Caenorhabditis elegans: one gene and its partner. The protein of the gene in region 2 interacts with the protein of the main gene of each other region in a pairwise test. Each region holds a gene or a part of one and is shown on either strand. Other genes may lie near its edges.

Evidence for each region. Proteins that work in one complex are often made in the same cells at the same time.
Region 1: the proteins of sta-1 (region 2) and sptl-3 interact in a two-hybrid assay, tested with the Caenorhabditis elegans proteins (one large-scale study listed by BioGRID).

The regions. Positions count from the first base shown.
Region 1 is NC_003283.11:13,889,623-13,896,577, forward strand, and holds sptl-3 (Serine palmitoyltransferase 3), read left to right. Parts: upstream 1-3,702; coding exon 3,703-3,719; intron 3,720-3,780; coding exon 3,781-3,831; intron 3,832-3,877; coding exon 3,878-4,064; intron 4,065-4,241; coding exon 4,242-4,396; intron 4,397-4,725; coding exon 4,726-4,871; intron 4,872-4,956; coding exon 4,957-5,281; intron 5,282-5,325; coding exon 5,326-5,545; intron 5,546-5,724; coding exon 5,725-5,820; intron 5,821-5,939; coding exon 5,940-6,106; intron 6,107-6,165; coding exon 6,166-6,295; intron 6,296-6,342; coding exon 6,343-6,414; downstream 6,415-6,955. Other genes in the region: spp-12 (Saposin B-type domain-containing protein), read left to right, coding at 308-436, 482-673; lbp-8 (Fatty acid-binding protein homolog 8), read left to right, coding at 1,164-1,376, 1,441-1,641. UniProt on the Caenorhabditis elegans protein: Component of the serine palmitoyltransferase (SPT) that catalyzes the first committed step in sphingolipid biosynthesis, which is the condensation of an acyl-CoA species and L-serine.
Region 2 is NC_003282.8:16,661,144-16,672,681, reverse strand, and holds sta-1 (Signal transducer and activator of transcription 1), read right to left. Parts: upstream 8,363-11,538; 5' UTR 8,361-8,362; coding exon 8,052-8,360; intron 7,956-8,051; exon of another isoform or gene 7,935-7,955; intron 7,680-7,934; exon of another isoform or gene 7,659-7,679; intron 7,576-7,658; exon of another isoform or gene 7,555-7,575; intron 7,473-7,554; exon of another isoform or gene 7,456-7,472; coding exon 7,111-7,455; intron 7,098-7,110; exon of another isoform or gene 7,077-7,097; intron 6,915-7,076; exon of another isoform or gene 6,894-6,914; intron 6,719-6,893; coding exon 6,591-6,718; intron 6,468-6,590; exon of another isoform or gene 6,447-6,467; intron 6,427-6,446; coding exon 6,189-6,426; intron 6,161-6,188; exon of another isoform or gene 6,140-6,160; intron 6,021-6,139; exon of another isoform or gene 6,000-6,020; intron 5,814-5,999; coding exon 5,167-5,813; coding exon of another isoform or gene 5,130-5,166; intron 5,020-5,129; exon of another isoform or gene 4,999-5,019; intron 4,954-4,998; exon of another isoform or gene 4,933-4,953; intron 4,752-4,932; exon of another isoform or gene 4,731-4,751; intron 4,694-4,730; exon of another isoform or gene 4,673-4,693; intron 4,478-4,672; exon of another isoform or gene 4,456-4,477; intron 4,268-4,455; and 27 more. UniProt on the Caenorhabditis elegans protein: Carries out a dual function: signal transduction and activation of transcription. Activated STAT proteins play a role in repression of dauer formation.

The DNA.
Region 1 (6,955 bases), on a different chromosome or scaffold from region 2:
ATTTAAATTCCCAATTTAAAATAAAAATTCTAGATTTAAACAAATTTATTGTCAAATGGATAATTGTTTTCTTGTTTTTTATAGTTGTGTGAAAAAAACCCTATGACATCATGGAGCCTACAAAAACAGGTTACAGAAACATGGTAACATTAAAAAAAATATTCTGGACGTTGAAACAGTCAATATATGATGTCCTGGATGGTTGTAGCCTACTTAGACTCCATCTCCCCCGGATCACTCTCTTATCATTACGGAACTTGCATTCGTATAAAAATTTTCCTAAATACTTATTTTCACTGCACTCATAATGTTTAGTAAAACAGTTGTTGTACTTCTAATGGTTGTGCCCGCAATCTCACTTGCGCAGCCAGCTTCACCACTGGTACTCAAGAAATCTCACGGAGCATTTTGTCATCTATGCGAGGACCTCATTAAGGTGAGTCGCAACTTTCAGTTAGAAAAATATATATTCTGTTTTCAGGATGGCAAGGAAGCTGGAGATGTTGCTCTCGATGTCTGGCTTGATGAGGAAATCGGATCCCGCTGCAAAGATTTTGGAGTGTTAGCGTCGGAGTGCTTTAAGGAGTTGAAAGTGGCTGAGCATGACATCTGGGAAGCTATTGATCAAGAGATTCCAGAGGATAAAACTTGCAAAGAAGCCAAACTCTGTTGATTTTCATATTCAATAAACCTTGTGAATATTAATGTTGATTTTGTAGGAAATTTTAAAAAAGCGAGTGAGACCAATTAAATAACAAGATTTTAAAACTGAAAATTTTTGCTGGAAATGTAATTTCAACAATGTTTTTATTGTTTGTTAATTGTGGAAGGTAGGGTAACTCATCTACGTTTTCGAATATTCAAATCAAAATTAAACTTTAAATTATAAAATTACCATTTTATCTTGTTAAATTACACTTCTATGCTCAAATCTTCAGGTTTTTAACTGAAATGTTTTTGCTGGTTTATGACATTATTAACCAAAATTTGCAGTTGTCTTCCACTTTTGATCACTGTTTGTGTTTTATGTCTGACCTGTGCTCTTTCCTTACAAAATCATCGCATTTTGCTACAGATAATGTCACTGTAATTGATAAATAGAAGCTATTTAAGCCACCCTGAGAAGTTCAGAATTAACAACTCAATTAATTCAGTCCTTCCTTATGGTTTCCATGAAAGAGTTTATTGGACGATGGAAACTAGTCCATTCGGAAAACTTTGAAGAATACCTGAAAGAAATCGGAGTTGGTCTTCTTATTCGTAAAGCTGCATCTTTAACAAGTCCGACATTGGAAATTAAACTAGATGGTGACACTTGGCATTTCAATCAATACTCCACGTTTAAAAACAACAAGCTCGCTTTCAAAATTAGAGAGGTAAATTTAGTTTTATGATTATAAAATGTTGTTTTGTCGGTTTTTAATGTAGATTCCGTTGCAGAAATTTGTTGAAATTGCTCCGGATGAGCGATCCTACAACACTTTGGTTACATTCGAAAATGGAAAGTTTATCAGCCATCAAGACAAAATAAAAGAAAACCACCACAGCTCTGTTTTCACAACTTGGCTCGAAAACGGAAAACTGTTGCAAACGTATCAATCTGGGAGCGTCATTTGTCGTAGAGAGTTTGTCAAAGAATAATCTATAAGGGATAACAAATTTGTTAAATAGAAGTTTCATTGATATTAATAAAAATTACAAGTCTCAAATTGATTTTTTTCAATCAATAAATTTTTGATCGCAGACCTTGATTAATTTCAGCTGCTTCCTTAACATGACAAAGTATTTTTTGCTCTAAAAATAAAAATCGTACTACGAGTAGTATCAAATGTTTCACAAAAGTTTAAAAAAGAGATGGTGTCGTTGCTTTGTGAGCCTGAGCATTTTTTGGGAACTAGATTTTTTATTTTATGCAATCAGCTTTCAATGATGTTGTTAAAGTTGAAAAAATAACTCATCATGAAGACTTTTTATTATTAATTTAACATGTTTTTATTTTTCTGATAATAGTTATTTTCCATGACAACATGCCGTTGAAGGGTGGTAGATCTATGAACTTTGATAAAGAACTCAATCACCCCACTTGTTTATCAGATGTTTCAACATTCAACAATAATAACTGTATTAATAATAAACTGTGATAAATTCTGCGGATAATAGTTTTTGTTGAATTTTTTTCACACATTTGTTTCAAGTTAAACTAACTATTTCAGTTATGATAACGCTGATTTTCATTCAATTTCGTGGAAATGCATTTATAGACATAATCTACTGATAAGTCATTTAATTTGCCGAATGTCTTTCAGTGACCAAACTAAATGCATAAGAGTTATACGTTTTTATTTGAGTTATCATATGCCAAAATTTTCATGAGTGTCACTGTGGTTATTTTTGCCCTTTTCTTTGGTTTTGTATGATTATTGAGATGCTCTGCTTAATGATGATTTTTATCCGGCTACCCTGAAAGTAATATATGTTTGCCTTGTTCCTACACGCTTACCTAGTATTAAAATACATGTAAAAATATGCCTGCCTATGCATCATATCTGGGTATTCAATTTATGTATATTATGGATTTTTTCAAATTTTCTTGTTTAATGCTGTAAACTTGGTTGTGTGAAAAAACAGACAACTGGTTTTTTGTCCTGAAATTCCCATTGCAACCTCATTTTCTTCATATTGTACGTGAATATATCGGAGGAATTCAAAAATGTGAAATTGTTCTTGATATCAGTTTGTGGCTATAATGAATTTTTTCGTTGGAAGCAGAAGTGTGTGTGTGTGTTTTTTTTTTTCGTATGGAATTTTGCATTACCTGTCAATCAAAAAGAACAAAGGTTTATGAGCAGCAGGAAATTTCACTGCAGATTGCTTTTTATCACTGTCTTGTTGAATCGAGAACTGATAATAGGAATTATCAACTTTAACAGTTCATCTTCTTTTGTTTTTGGAAAAAAGTTCTTAGCGTCCTACCTACGAAATCATAAAAAGGAATGTTTGTGTTAATAATAAATTAAACAGTTTGCAGTTTCAGTTGCATGTAAAAATGTGTAATATGACATCAGAATAGCAACAGTCGATACACGTGAACATGAATCATGCCATATTTTCTGTTTTCTCTACTCTGTTCTCCGTCTCGTCATTGTAGCCACCAAGAATACGTTTCCCTCTTCTCGTTGTACTTTGCGCTTCTTACCCGGCCACCACTTTTTTCTCCTTTATCACTGATTACTTTGATTGATAAATATCATCTCTCTTATTCTAACCCTTGGTGTCCCTTTCGTGTTGCGGCCCTCCCTTCAATCCCGCCTTGCAAAATCCCGGGAAAGTGCGCTCTACCGCAATTCTGCAGTTTTTTGACCCACGGAAGGGGGTTATTGCATGTTAGAGTGTTTGATGGTGTGATAATCTTATTTTTCCAAAATTTGGCGAGAAAAAACCTAAATCAAACATTAAAAAAATTTAATGATTTTTTGTGAGCAACGAAACAAAATAAATCGATATACTTATTTTATTACTGTTTTAATATAAATTCTCACGTTATTTTTTAAATAATTTTTCGACCAGAAAATTTTGATTAACTGAATATTATTACTTCGTGGCCCCGGAACGTGGTGTCCGATCAATAAAACAAATGGTGTCTATATTTCTTTGTGTCTCTTTGGGTGTCTTCTCTCTAAATACAATTGATTTGCACAAAAAATGTCTTCGTGTTTCGTGTAATTTACTCTTTTTTTTTAAATATTTTCTATTATAAGTGCTCACTGTTTGATATTTCAGGTTCTACAACATGGGTGGAACCCAAAATGGGAAAGCCGTGGCAAATGGAAAGTGAGTTTTCCCAATTTTCAAAAGTTTATAGCAAATATTTTTTTAGGGCAAAAAACGGAAACATTACGGAAAAAGTCATCAAGTTGGATCCATGTCCAAAGCCAGCGTTCTACGTATTTTGGCTTGTCCAATTGAATATTACAATGATGCTTGTAGGAGCAATGGTTGCCACTTTATTCGATAAATGGGGAATTGTGAAGACAAAACGATCAAAAGGAGACCCCAGAATGGAGGTTTGTATATCGATTTTTTCTGGTTTGAAACAAAAAATTCTGCGTTAGTGTTGGTCTTTGCCTTCCGGTCTGCACAATTGATAAGGTCATAAGAATGCGGAAATCATCAAAGTGGTTGCGAAAATGCACATAAAATGTTATCAGTCACAGTCTGATTCATTATATAAACCTTTTTAGAGCTTTCAACCACTTGGAAACAGTTTCGATGCCACGTACACAGATCATATCTATCGACAATCGACGGATGTTGTTAATCGGCCAATTAGTGGAGTTCCTGGAGCAATTGTTAGACTGAAAGATAGATATACTGACGATCATGGATGGACACAAAAGTTAGTAATTGAACGTGCATCACAGTTGGAATACATTTTTTGGTCGTAAATTTTCGAATTTAAAAATTGGAAAAGACACCAATTTTCGAAAAATATAAAATGTGAGACAGTAAGAAAAAGTTCAATTTTATCTGATTGCAAGATTAAAACAGTCACACCAAATCTTAAAATGAGAACAATTTTGTGAAATAATGTCTTTCTGATTTTTTAAAATTGTTACCAATTGGCGGAGCTTCAAATCAAAAAGTTTGCAGTATAAACACAGACACACAAATTCTGATTGCATTTTAGTACTGAAGAAGTATATAACTGCTAATAAAAATTTCCAGATACACGGGTACTGAATCAGAAGTGATCAACCTAGGATCTTACAATTATCTCGGCTTCTCGCATCGATCTGGAGTATGTGCCGAGGCAGCTGCTGCTCATATTGACAAGTATGGAATTAATTGTGGTGGATCTCGACAGGAAATTGGTAAATTTTTAAAATTGTATTTATTTCGCTGAAATTGCTCCGATAAATACTGATTACCGTTGTCTAAACATCTTTCACATTCCAGGTAACCACGTTGCACACAAATCAGTTGAAAGTACAATTGCCCAATATCTGAACGTCGAAGATGCGATTGTTTTCCCGATGGGATTTGCCACGAACTCAATGAATATTCCATCACTTGTTGATAAAGGATCGTTGATTCTTTCTGATCGCCTTAATCATGCTTCATTGGTTACTGGATGCAGACTCTCCGGAGCACATACAGTGGTTTTTCGTCACAACGATGCGAGTGATTGTGAACGAAAACTGCGGGACGCGTTGTGTGGAGTTAGCCCAAAAACTGGGGAAAAATACAATAAAGTGCTCATTATTATTGAAGGCATTTATAGGTTTGCAACTACTTAGTTAAAAATCTTAACTATTTCTGTTTTAGTATGGAAGGAACAATTGTCAACTTGCCAGCATTCATTGCTGTCAAAAAGAAGTACAATTGTTATCTGTTCCTTGATGAAGCACACAGTATCGGCGCCGTAGGGCCTAGTGGAAGAGGAGTTGCCGAGTATTGGGGATGCAATCCAAGAGATATTGATATTATGATGGGTACTCTCACGAAATCATTTGCATCGGCTGGAGGATATATGGGAGGATCAAAGGTTTGTAATTGACAGTTTTGAAAAATTACGAGCTTGTTCCAATAAGGAAACGTGTTAAAAAAGTTCTTCAAACTTTTCCAAACGTTTGAAAAGTTTTTTTATAGCGTACCCGACATCAATCGCGCAGAAACTCCATAAAAGTATAAAAATTGTTTTTTATTTATTTATTAATATTTCAGAAAGTCATCGATCACATTCGTCGATACTCTGCTGGAACTTGCTACGGAGTTACAATGTCTCCACCACTTATTGCTCAAGTCGAGAGAGCAGTTTTGGTATGTTATAACCTATATGAAAATATCAATTTTGGCAACCTTTCTTGAGAAATTCTCGGAAAAAAATAGTTCAAAAATTGTGACTTCCTACTTTTCATCATAACTTTTTGTAATTTCAGATCATGTCTGGAAAAGATGGTACAGATATTGGCCGACAGAAAGCAATTCAACTACTCGAAAATTCTCGATACTTCAGAAAAGAGCTTCGTAAACGAGGATTTTTGGTGTATGGAAACAATGATAGTCCAGTTGTTCCATTAATGACGTTTTATATTACAAAAGTTGTGTAAGTTCTTTTTTAATTTAATTTTGTTTTGAGTCTCTTCACCCAATGTTTAATTTTAGTGAATTTTCGCGAAGAATGTTGAAACATAATATTGGAATTGTTGCCGTTGGATATCCGGCAACTCCACTTTTGGAAGCACGTGTTCGGTTCTGTTTGAGTGCCGATCACACGAAAGAGCATCTTGATTATGTGAGTTTTGAGTGTGAGAGTTCTATAAAATTACCAACTACTTTCAGATTCTTGAAGCTGTAGAACAAGTTGGTATGGAAACAGGTACATTTTACGGGACGAAAATCGTCGACGAGTAACATTTTCTAGGAGTATTTATTAACTATCCTCGTTATTTGTCAGTTCTTCCCTGTTTCACTTCTACATATATATTCCCATTACCCCAATTCTTGCCCTTTGAATAATTTTTTTTCTGACTTTTATTTTTTATCTACCAAAAACTATCGAATTCCTAGGATCTTCTTCTTATATAAATTTAAATTTTCTCTTTTTCTATTTGTTTGTTTTATGTATTTTCCCATTGTTTTTTACACTTATTTCTTTCTAGGCAAACAATTTTCATGACATTTCCCACCAATTCTGCCTTCCTCCAACGCCATGCAAGGCAAACTTGAAAAACAGTTTTGAATGTATTGATTATTCACAACAACATAAAATTTAATAAAAATTATAAATTTTGATCATGTTTGAATCTTTTGGCAACATACTTCTAAAAAGCACAGTTTTATAAAAGAAATCGAACAGTTTTAAGGCATTTTTCAATGAAAAGGTTATCAGTTATCTATAGGATGACAATCCCCACAATTAAAACTATATGTCCATCATCATCATTAGCCATAC
Region 2 (11,538 bases):
GCTCTTGCGACGATGAGCCCATCATGTCTGGAAATTTCAGATTTTTAATGAAGGGAATGGGAAGACAAGGAGGTAATAAAAAGGAAACGTTTTCAAAGAAAAATTTGTGAAAAAAAATTGGTTTAAAAAAAAAAATTTTACAGTTTCAAGAATTTTATTTCATTTTCAGTGTATTTTCAGAATCGACGTATACTTTAAGAAATTTTTTACTGTTTCAAATAAGTGATTAACGTTGAAGCTCGCCGAGCTCATTTACAAAAGGGAGAAGCTGGAAAAAGGTAGGGAATAAAAAGAAAGTGGCTTGGGAAATTTCAAAATACGTATAGAGAATATACGCAATAGGAGCTACACAAATTTTCCAACTCAAGAAAACAATTTTTCAAAAAATTTTCCACTGTTTCAACAGGTTTTTATTCACAATACATTTGAGCTACTAATGCTTTCGTGATTTTGTCGTTTACAGCTTTGCCTAGAATGTTTGAAAATTTAATTAGATATTTAATTCAATCAATTCACATGCATTTATAGAAATTTCTTATTCAAAATTAAAAGTTTTATAAAACTACATTTTCTTTGAGTTTTTAATAACAGTTGTATATTTTTGTATGTGTTTGAATGCGTTCAACTCACAATATCTTTGAGAAAATAACTGAAATCTAAAATCGACTGATAGAGAGTTCTTCAACATTTTGAAAATAAACTTGAAGAGTCTTGAATTTTTTTAATAATTATCCAAAACTTCAGCAATTTTATACAGTACATATATGATTTTCATTCAAAACTGACAATAGTTTTCATTACTTTTTTTTAAATCTCCATGCTGCAAAACGTAAATGATATGAAAATATTTTAGAGCAGAGAACTGAAATTGATCCCCGGGGCTTGATTTGCCATTTACAGATATTTGAAAAAGTTATTGAACATGTCATGTTTTCTGTTATGTTTGTCTGAAAATTCAGTTTTCCTTTAGTGAGAAGACAATAGTTCTATTCTATTTTCTTTCATCTCAATTCCACGACTTCTCCAGTTTCATCTCCTACAGTTTAAATTATGATCGTGCTCTTGATCCCCATCGATATTTAGAAATTGCATTTACTGATAACATTTTCCTGAAACAGTAAAATTAATTTTTTTTTTTTGGTTAGAATCACGTGCTTATATGAAACTTTCTAGCTTCCTGTCTCCATCGTGGAACAGATCAAAACATTCGATTTACAGTAAAATAATTTATTGGATGAGATCAGAAATCACTTGTGATTATTAATATTATTTTCAGTAAATATTGTCAAAATAATATTAGATTATCAAAGAATTGAGGAAGATGGACAGCACGAAAGAAGCAAAGATATGAATACTAAACTGGAGACAGAGAAATTCAAAAAGAGGTAATTGGGGGGACTGTTTTAACATTTAAATAGTGTTTTATGAGGGATAAAATTGATTGTGGTGCTGTTGCATCATTCCCTGTTGGGACATATCCACAAAATGAAGGTTATGCTGATGATTTCCATCGTGTGGATTGTAGTTTGTGATATTATTCTTGAATGCTGGTCCCAATAGAGTTTCTACATCTCCCGACATATCCGAGACTGTTAGGATTTGACCAAGTTCGTCGGACCTGGAAAAAACAGTGGAATTAGCATTGGAGCGCATTTTGTAATTTTTGGAAATTTCTTTATCGAATGTCACTTTAGATGAGATGTCATTAGTTTGATAACGGCCACTGAGAAAGCGACTTCTCGCCGCGTTCGTGGTGTAATGGTCAGCATGGATGCCTTCCAAGCATTCGACGGGGGTTCGATTCCCCCCGAACGCATAAACTTTTTGAACACATCACTCACATCTCCATCATATGATTCTGATGAACCTCCCCGGGTGACCAATCCAATTTGCTTTGAACCGACAACGGTGACGGAGAATCTGCACCAAACATGGACGGTGCATTGGACATTCGTCTGAAATTCCTAAAATAAACCGAATTTCTAAACTTTCCATCTGTAACCTACCCATTTGTTTTTGCAACCATGACAATTTCACTTTGAATATATCCAGTTGGACTGTCACCACCGCCCACGCGATGACGCTCCTCGGACTCGAAGAAACGCAGCATTTCTTCTTTATCGATTGCCGGGTACATGTATCTGAAATTTAGAGGTTTTTATTTCATGTTTCAAAATTTGTAAGTTAAGAGGAACGCTGTTAGTTATGTGTTGCTACCTTAATTAACTCGGTTGAAATAAAAAATTTTTCACTGTTTCAAGAATTTGTGAGAAAAATTGTTGTTTTCTAATTTCAATTTCTATTGGTAGAAACATTTTCACATTTTACATGTCTACAATGTATTTTGAGAGATTACAGCTCAAGTCAATGTTTTGTCAAACCTTAAAAATTGGGTCTCGACTCTAAAATCTGCGACTTCTGGAAAAATTTAAATTTTTCAGAAACATGATTTACAAATAGACAATTTGAAACATTTTTTGTCATTTTTTGAAGAGGCATTGTCCGAATTCTAAGCCATGATCTTATCTCTTTTCAGTGAAACAGAAAAATATTTTCATTTTGCGTTTTTTTTTAATTCGTATTTTTAATAGGCTGGCGGTTATTTTTCAAAGTAAAATAAGAATTATAAACCGTTGCGAGACCTTGTTTTTTTTTCAAAAAAAAACTGAGTGATTCACTAATATTTTTGAATATTAGACTTTGAAAAATGAACAACTTGAAACATGCTTTGGCATTTTTCCAAAATAAATTGCTTTAAATTCATCAGGCTTTCTAAGTAGGCGCTAAGGCCTTGTTGAAGCTGTAGGTAGGCAAGTCGTTCTGCCTACATTGCTGCCTACCATTGTTTCAACTAAGCCGAAAATTTAAATGTAAGTGTTATTATTTCAATTAATTTAATGGCAAAGAAATGAAACACATTCTTCCCCTGGTAGAAGGCACACGTCAGGCGTAGCTTGCCTATAGTCAAACAGTAATTTTCGGCCCAACATAGCAGCCCTTACATCGATTGTATCTAATATTTTCAAACTTTCGACCAGATGTGAGATGTTTACTGATGTTAGAAATTAACCGATAATTTATCAACAACCTGAAACAGCATAATTTTTTTTTAATTCACTAATTTCAAAATTTGACTTTCTTGAAGAATTACACCGTAGGCAGACAGGCTAACTTTTTTGCCTTAGAATTTTTATAAAAACGATTAGTTTTTTGAGTTACTCCGTGCAGTTTTCACAATTTCCGGATTTTATTTTAGTAAAAATTCCACCCAGTTTCAGTTAGTTATTATTCACGAGCGCATGTTTCTGCATTCATTCTATTTTCACACCGTTATTATCCAATTTTAAAAAGTGTCATTTGTAACCCACTTTTGCCTATAACGAGAAAATTCAAAAAATTACAGTTGGAGTAAAAACGGAAAATAGGCGGTAGGCAAGTAGGTAGGCAGGCAGGAGGTGTCCAGTTATAGAAAGTGTTCATGTTAACATTTCATGTACTTTCATGATGTTTACTAATTGGATCCAAAAAATATTTTTAAAAAATATATCAGAAAAATGGGACTGATGTTTTTAATAATTATTCAATGAAACAGTAGAAAAATGAAATATTTGGAAATGAAACTTTTTGTTCAAAACTGCTGTGCTGACAGTTCTTATAATAAATTATTAAAAATCACAGTATCGAGATGGTGATGAGACCTAAAAAGTACGGAGAAAAGTGTATTTAACAATTATACAATTGATGCCATTTTCAATATCGTTCAATGAAAAAAACCATATAAAATTATTTAGTGAAACAATAGAAAAAAAAAAAATTTTTTTAAATTCCTGTATTTTATTTAAATTGGCAATTTTAACTTTCATTTGAATATTTTTGTAAAATGATCACAGTTTCAAAAGATTTAGATCAAATTATAATGATGCATTTGTTGTAATAAGTATTTCGGAATTGCAACATTAACAAAAGAAGGGACAACTTTTATAATTCTTAAGTGAAACAGTTGAAGTTTTTTTTCAAATTTTTGTTAATTTTGTTCAAAATAACTGCTGACATAATTTATATCCACGTTCAGAAATATTATCAAAAGTGCTTCAGCCTGAACGGTGAAATCATAAATCACATAATTTCCAGCCGGGCCGCAGAAAATAGGTGGTAGGTAGGTAAGCACAAGGCAAGAAGGTGTATTTCTTAGTACTGATGTGAATGTGAAAAATGTGAACATTATTTATATATATTTTTCAGGGTGATTCACAAAGATTAGAAATATCAAACGATTGCAATTGAAGCTATTTATGATTATTCAATGAAACAGTAGAAAATTTGAACTTTTTCTCAAATTTTTCCAATTTCTTAACCACATAAAAAATATTTGTTTTGTTTAAATGTGCCAGTTTTCATAGCAAAATTTTGAAATTCAAAGGTTTCAAAACGTGGTAAGACCCGAAAATTGTTGTTATGAAAGAGAATGCAATAAGAATGCAATAACTTCAAACCAAATGATAAAAGTATTTAGTGAAACAGTATAATTTTTTTTCATTTTTTCAATTTTCTTCACACTTATTTTTTACTGTAACTGAACAAACTTAACATCTTGTTAAGTTTTCACTCCTAAAATTAACTTTTATTTACCCTTTTTTTTTATTTGGCACTTCTGACTTTAATTTTAACATTTTTTGTTTAAATTGATCACTGATTGAAAAGAGTTTAATCAAATTATAATAATTAGAAAAGATGAAGGAGTATTTTCTTAACATTAAAAAAAGAAGGAACAACTTATATAATTCTTAAGTGAAACAGTTGAAGTTTTTTTTTTTTTGGACGGTGAGAACATAGATCACATAATTTCCCGCCAGGGCGCAGAAAATAGGCGGTAGGCAGGTACGTAGGCAGGTACGATACTTACGTCCCAGTAATCGCGTGAAAATTCAATTCACTTTCGTGGTTACAGAAATATCAAACTATTGCAATTGAGGCTATTTATGATTCTTCAATGAAAAAGTAGTATTTTTGAACTTTTTATTTTTTGTCCAATTTCTTAACCACATAAAATATTTAGTGAAACAGTATAATTTTTTTCATTTTTCCAATTTTTTTTAAACATTTCCATTTTTGACCGTAACTAAGCATACTTAACAACATGGTAAACTTTTCGCGTCTAAAACTAACCGAATATCCTTCAATTGTGGACATGAAGCAATACGACTTGCCAGTGACAATTGATCCAAATCCTTAATAGTAAAAGGTGCCAAATGAAATGGAATCTTTTGTCCATCAGCCTCTTCACAAACAAAACCAATCGATACAGCACCAGTTTGACTGTCAGAGAATCTCAATAAAAATGAAGAGTGCTGACACATCATCATACTTTGAGACGCATCATTTTTTGAAATAAATCCAATGCACCATCCCTCATCCCAGAATTTGAGCAGTTTTTGTTTGATTAATTGCATTATTGAGAAAAACCATTCCCAAAATGAGAATGGTAAGTCATCTCTCATTGCCTGTTTTGCGAATCGATGAAATGTGATTGGCTTCTGATCTGCCACATTTGGCATTAACATTTTCTCACTTAAATATGCCAAATCTGAATCTGAAAGTGGACGACGTGCTCCCGTGAATAAGGAGAACTTGTTTCGAAGCATTATTGCTAGATTGTCCCATGTCACAGCTGTCACATCAGTTGTATTTGGATTTCTGCTGATTGAGGCGAATGCGCGGTGCCAGAGAATTGCAACTTGCGCGTCACAGTCTTGAGATCCGTGTACTGTAACCATTATTGGAAGAGAAAGTGTCCAAACGTCGAATTGTTCTTCCTGTTAAATTTTAATTGATAGAAATTGGAGGACATATTAAATTTTGAAAATTAAGAGTAGCTGAAACAGTGAAAATTCTCAAGTTTCTTTACACTTTTTTGAATATAGAATTACTGCTTTTACTAATCCAGTTAGAAAATTTCAGTAATTCAAAGTGAAAACCGAAAGAAATGTTGGAAATGTTTGGTTCAACCATTGTTCGTTTATCAGACTCAAATTTTGAAATAAATTTTAAACTTTTTGTTGAAACAGTGAAAAAATAAAAAATAAATGTTTTGCTGTTTCACGTTGTTTTTAAAAGATTTTGCATTTGAGTTTGAGTTACTGACTACGTTCAAAAAAAATCAAGTCATAATTGAAATATCAACAACTTACTTTGCTCAAATTACCCATTTGAAAAGGTGTAATAAAGAATAAAAGAGCATATTTCTGATCAGTAGCTGCCTGCATACTTGCTGCACATTTCAAGTCAGATGCTCCTTTTGGGGGCGGTTTTCTGTGTGCAATTCTTGTCAATTTTGAATTATTGAATTTTGCCGCCAAGTGTCCTCTTTCATTCATTGTGAGCTTCTCGAAATCATTGGAAATTGTGCCAACTGTCTTGTTGTTACGGCTGAAAAATATTAGTGTTGAATATAGTGATACAACTACAAATTAACCACAAAAAATAAGAAAAGTATATAAAAATAATACGAAAAAGTATAAGTTTTAGAAAAAAAAATTTTCTCAATTTTTCAAAAATTTACTGTTTCAAATTTTTCATTAAAAAAAACTCACATTTCCTTATGTGCATCATAGTCAACACTCAACTGCTTGGCTTCATCTTCTGCTATAATTTTCACTGAAACATTTGTGTTCACCAGGTGTTGACGAATTCCCAGCTTATCGCCAATGAGAAGACGGACCTGGAAATTTTAGTTTTTTTTTGTAATTTTATTGAAAAATCAGGATTCTGAAATTGCTGCGTCCCACAGCGGAAACTACAGTAACCCGTAAAATTAGGTGGGGTGGAACTGTAGTTTTTGTGGTGGGACCCAGAAATTTTCAAGCTGAACAAATGCGTGGCACACATTATATTCGAATTGAACTTCTTAAATAAAATTGTTGAGTATGACTTACATATTTATTTGAATGACTTTTGAAACGGTAAAGTTTTAATTAAAATTTTTGAATTTTTTTTTATTGTTTCTTATAATTTGCTTGAATTCTAACTAAGTTGGGTCTCGTCACGACGGTGTGGTTTTCGCGGCGGGACCCACCAAAATTTGACATGTATAATTTCCATTAAAAAACAAACCTCAGTGACAAATTTATGTTGAGTCTTCAAAACAGGTTCCGGTTGAACGGAAACAATAAAACTCTGTGAAACCAGCATAAAAAGTAATTTGTTCAATTGTTCTGTAATTGCAGTCAACTTTCCAATTGTTGCCTGAGCGAGCCCATCATTTAACTGTGGAGCACGTCGGAGCAAGTCGAGCATCCAACACGAGAACATGTTAAGCTGCCAGTTTTGATCAGCGAGAAATTCGAATTCAATTTGAATTTCATCAAGCAGCTGTTCGCGATTATCGAAAGGCATTCCGATTTGGGCAAGTTTTTGGGCATTTTTCCAGGAGAACAGCTTTTCGCCAATTAGTTGGGTCTGGAAATGAAGATTGATTAAAATATTGCAACGCATAGAAAATTTGATTAAACTGTGAAACAGTATTTTTTTAAAAATATTTCTCTTTAAAAAAAATTGTCAAATTTTATGCAAAATCAATGTAAAAGGAAAAAAAAGATTAAATTTGATAAAAGTGTGAAACTGTAAATATTATAACTAACTTTTTTTCAGATAAGAGAGCTAGATTGCAGGCCAGTTTTAAAGTATGACATTTTCGCGCGTTCAATATATGAAATGCATGGGAAACATTAAATTTTTAATTAATTTTTGTATTTCAGTTCATTTTTGATGTAATTTCATATTAAAAGATTTCTTAATGCTTTTTTTAAACAAAACATTCACTTGAAACATTAAAAGAATAAAAATATTTTTAGCATGAATTTACTGAACATGCAAAATTCTTCAAAATTTGAAGGATTTTTCAAAAAAGTAAATCTTGTATTAGAGTTTTTTAATGGAAATGGTCTTCGACAGTCAAGTAAAGTAAAAAATTTTAATTCATATTTCACAAAACTTTGAAACAGTAAAATTTTTTTTATGTTTTTTTCATATTTTTTCACATTAGAAGAACCAACCTGTAGCATCGTCGCAAAATTGGTGCCATCATTAAGTTTAATGACAATATCATTTCTTTTCTGTGTCAAATGCTCATAAAGTGTGGCTGCTCTTTTCTGTAACTCTGTCATTTGCTGTTTCACAGTGAATACATTTTCTAGTCTCTGTTGCTGTTCCAGCTGTGCAATGACCATTTGCAGACGTTGAAGCTCGCCGAGTTCATTCACAAATCTGCCTTGGAGGTCCTTATTCTCTTCCCACAAGTGATGGCAGGTCTTTGAGACGTCGGTTAGAGCTGTTTGAAGCTCTTGCGACGATGAGCCCATCATGTCTGGAAATTTCAGATTTTTAATGAAGGGAATGGGAAGACAAGGAGGTAATAAAAAGGAAACGTTTTCAAAGAAAAATTTGTGAAAAAAAATTGGTTAAAAATTTTTTTACAGTTTCAAGAATTTTATTTCATTTTCAGTGTATTTTCAGAATCGACGTATACTTTAAAAAATTTTTTACTGTTTCAAATAAGTGATTAAATTTTGAAAGATTTTGTTAATTTCAATTTGATTTTTCACTGTTTCTGAAAACTTTCAATGTAGCATATTCGCTTGACAAAACATATTCATTTTCATCAATAATTATGAAAAAAAAAAAGAAAATATGTACGTGCAATGCAAGAAAAAATTGCGAAAACTTTCAATTTGTGCGAGTTGTTGAAAGAGCCGTGGCTCTGCACAAGAACTCGAAGGAAAAAACTAATGAGAAGTTGTTGGCTCAAAAAAGCGGAAAATGGGCAAGAGATGCAGAGAGCAGAAACACTTGGAAATGTATAAGAGCTCCAGGAGCACACACACACACGGGAGAGAGTATCAAAGAGAGCACAGAGACGCAGACAGTGTTACACACCGCTAGACGCAGAGACTTGTGTGTTTTCACACCACTTTTCCCCTGTCTCAGCTGATATCTGTGATGATTGGGGGGACGGAAAAAAATGGAGATATTATTGAGGGATTAGAGAAAAATATGTTTTTTTTTTCAAAAAAAAAATCGTTCAAATTAATTTTGAAACAGTAGTGGTTTTTTCAAGTTATTATAAAATGAGCTGAACATGAACATTTAAGGTTCTACTTGTATTACCCAACCGTGAAATTTTGCGCGAAAATTACTGTATCGGGTCTCGACGCGACAAATTACTGTTCAAATGTTCTAAAAATGTTCGAAAGTATGTATGTTTTTGTGGTTTTTATTCAAATATTTTTTATTGGAAAACAATTTGAAAAATCTGGAAAATTTTCAAATTTTGGGTGAACGACGATTTGACGGAAATTTTGGAAAATTTTAACATTTTTCCACTGTTTCAAGTTGTCTTTAAAAATACCAACATTTTATTTATACGTTGCTAGATTTATTCCAGTTTTTTATTCTGAGTGTATGAAGTTCTATTATTATTTCTCACTACTGTTCTAGCATTTTGAGGATTATAAAATGTGGTGTTGAAACCGAAAATTTAGTTTTTTTTAATTTTTTTTCGGCCAAGCTGAAATAATTTTGCGTGTTTTAAAATTGGCTTAGAGTCTGGAAATTTTATAACAATCTGACAAGTAATCTGAATATACCGGGAAAAAGAAATTGAAAAAAAAATTATACTGGGGCTATTTCTATATGGAACCTTAAAGATTTCAAACTTGAGAAGAAAACAATACTGTTTCAGATTACTGATATTGTCTGAATGTATAAAATGGGGTAATACAGTGTTGAAAATGAAGGTAGTATAATATTTTAGAAAACATATATATTGTTTCAGATTGCTTACATATGAATCGAATAATGTTTCTCAATATTTAAATTTTTTTCAAGTTTAATGCTGCTATTGTCGGAAAGCAAAAATTGTCAAACATTACTTCGAAGTTCGATTTCACTAGTTAGTGAGCTGAAGTTTCGTTTTTTGTTCAAACTAGGTAATTAATAGAGCTTATAAGACTTACAAGTTCAAATTTTTAGAAAAAATGTATCTTGTTTCAGATAAGTCAAGTATCAATGGCAATTTTTAATTGAAATAACACAAAAGGCACAGCAAAATTTACAGAAAGTTGGATGAAAAGTTTACTGTTTCAGGTTACTCATATTCAATATGGAAAATGAATTGTTATCGATTATCCTTCTGTATTACATCCTAATAAGGGTCATTTACAGTTAGATATAAATTGAAATTTTTCTATCAATTATTTCGTTTTACAGAGCATTCCAACTTGGAAAATGTGCTTATGTTTCATGGTCATGAGAAATAAAAAATTTACTGTTTCTAACTGGTTTTTAATATTTTCAAATTGTTTTTTTTTTTGCTTTAAATTAATACAGAATCTTTACTCGTTTTAAATTAGCGAAATTTTGACTGTTTCAACAAGTTATTAAATTTTAAACTCGTTTTGCATATTTTGATCGGGTTATTGATTTACCACTATCGACAAATAGATTCTGATACTAAAATCAGGAATTTCAGAGAGAATTCCCAGCTAACAATTAGTGGAGGACAGAAATGCAGTTTTCATTTTCAGATTGACTTTTCTCTTACTAAAGTGTTAAAACTTTAAGTTTTAGAAAATTGGACAAAAAAAATTGACTGTTTCAGATTGTTAATGTTAATCGAATAAATTCTCGGCCGTGCTGTGACTTCTTTTCATGTTAAGAATTCATTTTTCAATTTTGTAACACTTCGAAGAAGTATTTTGTTTCAAATTAGAAACATATAAATTGGTATTCCAAAGACATAAATTTACGTTTTTCGGTGGCTAATAGTAAGACAGGCTGGGATGTGTCCTAATATCACGTTTTCAAAATATGGAAATTCATGGAATACGTGAAACAGTACATTTTTTGTTCAGTAAACTAAAATTTTAAATTCGGCAAAGAAATTCCATGTAGGCGTCAAAACGTCTGCCTGCCTGACCTTAAGGTGGCCTACGCCTGCCTCTTGCCTCAACCTGCACCTTATGCTGAAACATATGAAAACTCTTTTTTTTTTAATTTCTTAATTTGATTTTCAAAAAAATTGAATCAAACCAAAACGCATGAAATAGGTAAAAGGCCGGCGTTAGGCGAGCAGGTTTCAGGCAGGCACTGAAACTGCGCCTGCCTGGAAGCCCTGACGTACACGTAGAAAAAGGCAAGTGAATCATCTCGAACCTCGATTTTTTTCTGAGTTTTTGAAAAATCAGCTAATGTTTCAAGGTCCTGAGAAAATACATGGGGTTTAGTAATTTTTCGTTTTTTTCTGCAGCAAAGAATCACAAGAATCATGTTTTTTATTTTTTGTGAAAATTCGAAATTTTTTACTGTTTCTAAATAGCATTCTATATTTTTAAAATTTGCTTCAAATTAATAAGAACTGGCTTCTGTGTGGAATTTAACAATATACAATTTGTGGAAGTAATTGTAAATTTTTACGGTTTCAGCAAGTTTTCATAAATGAAACTCGTTTTACATATTTTGATACTTGACGGGACCAATTAAACT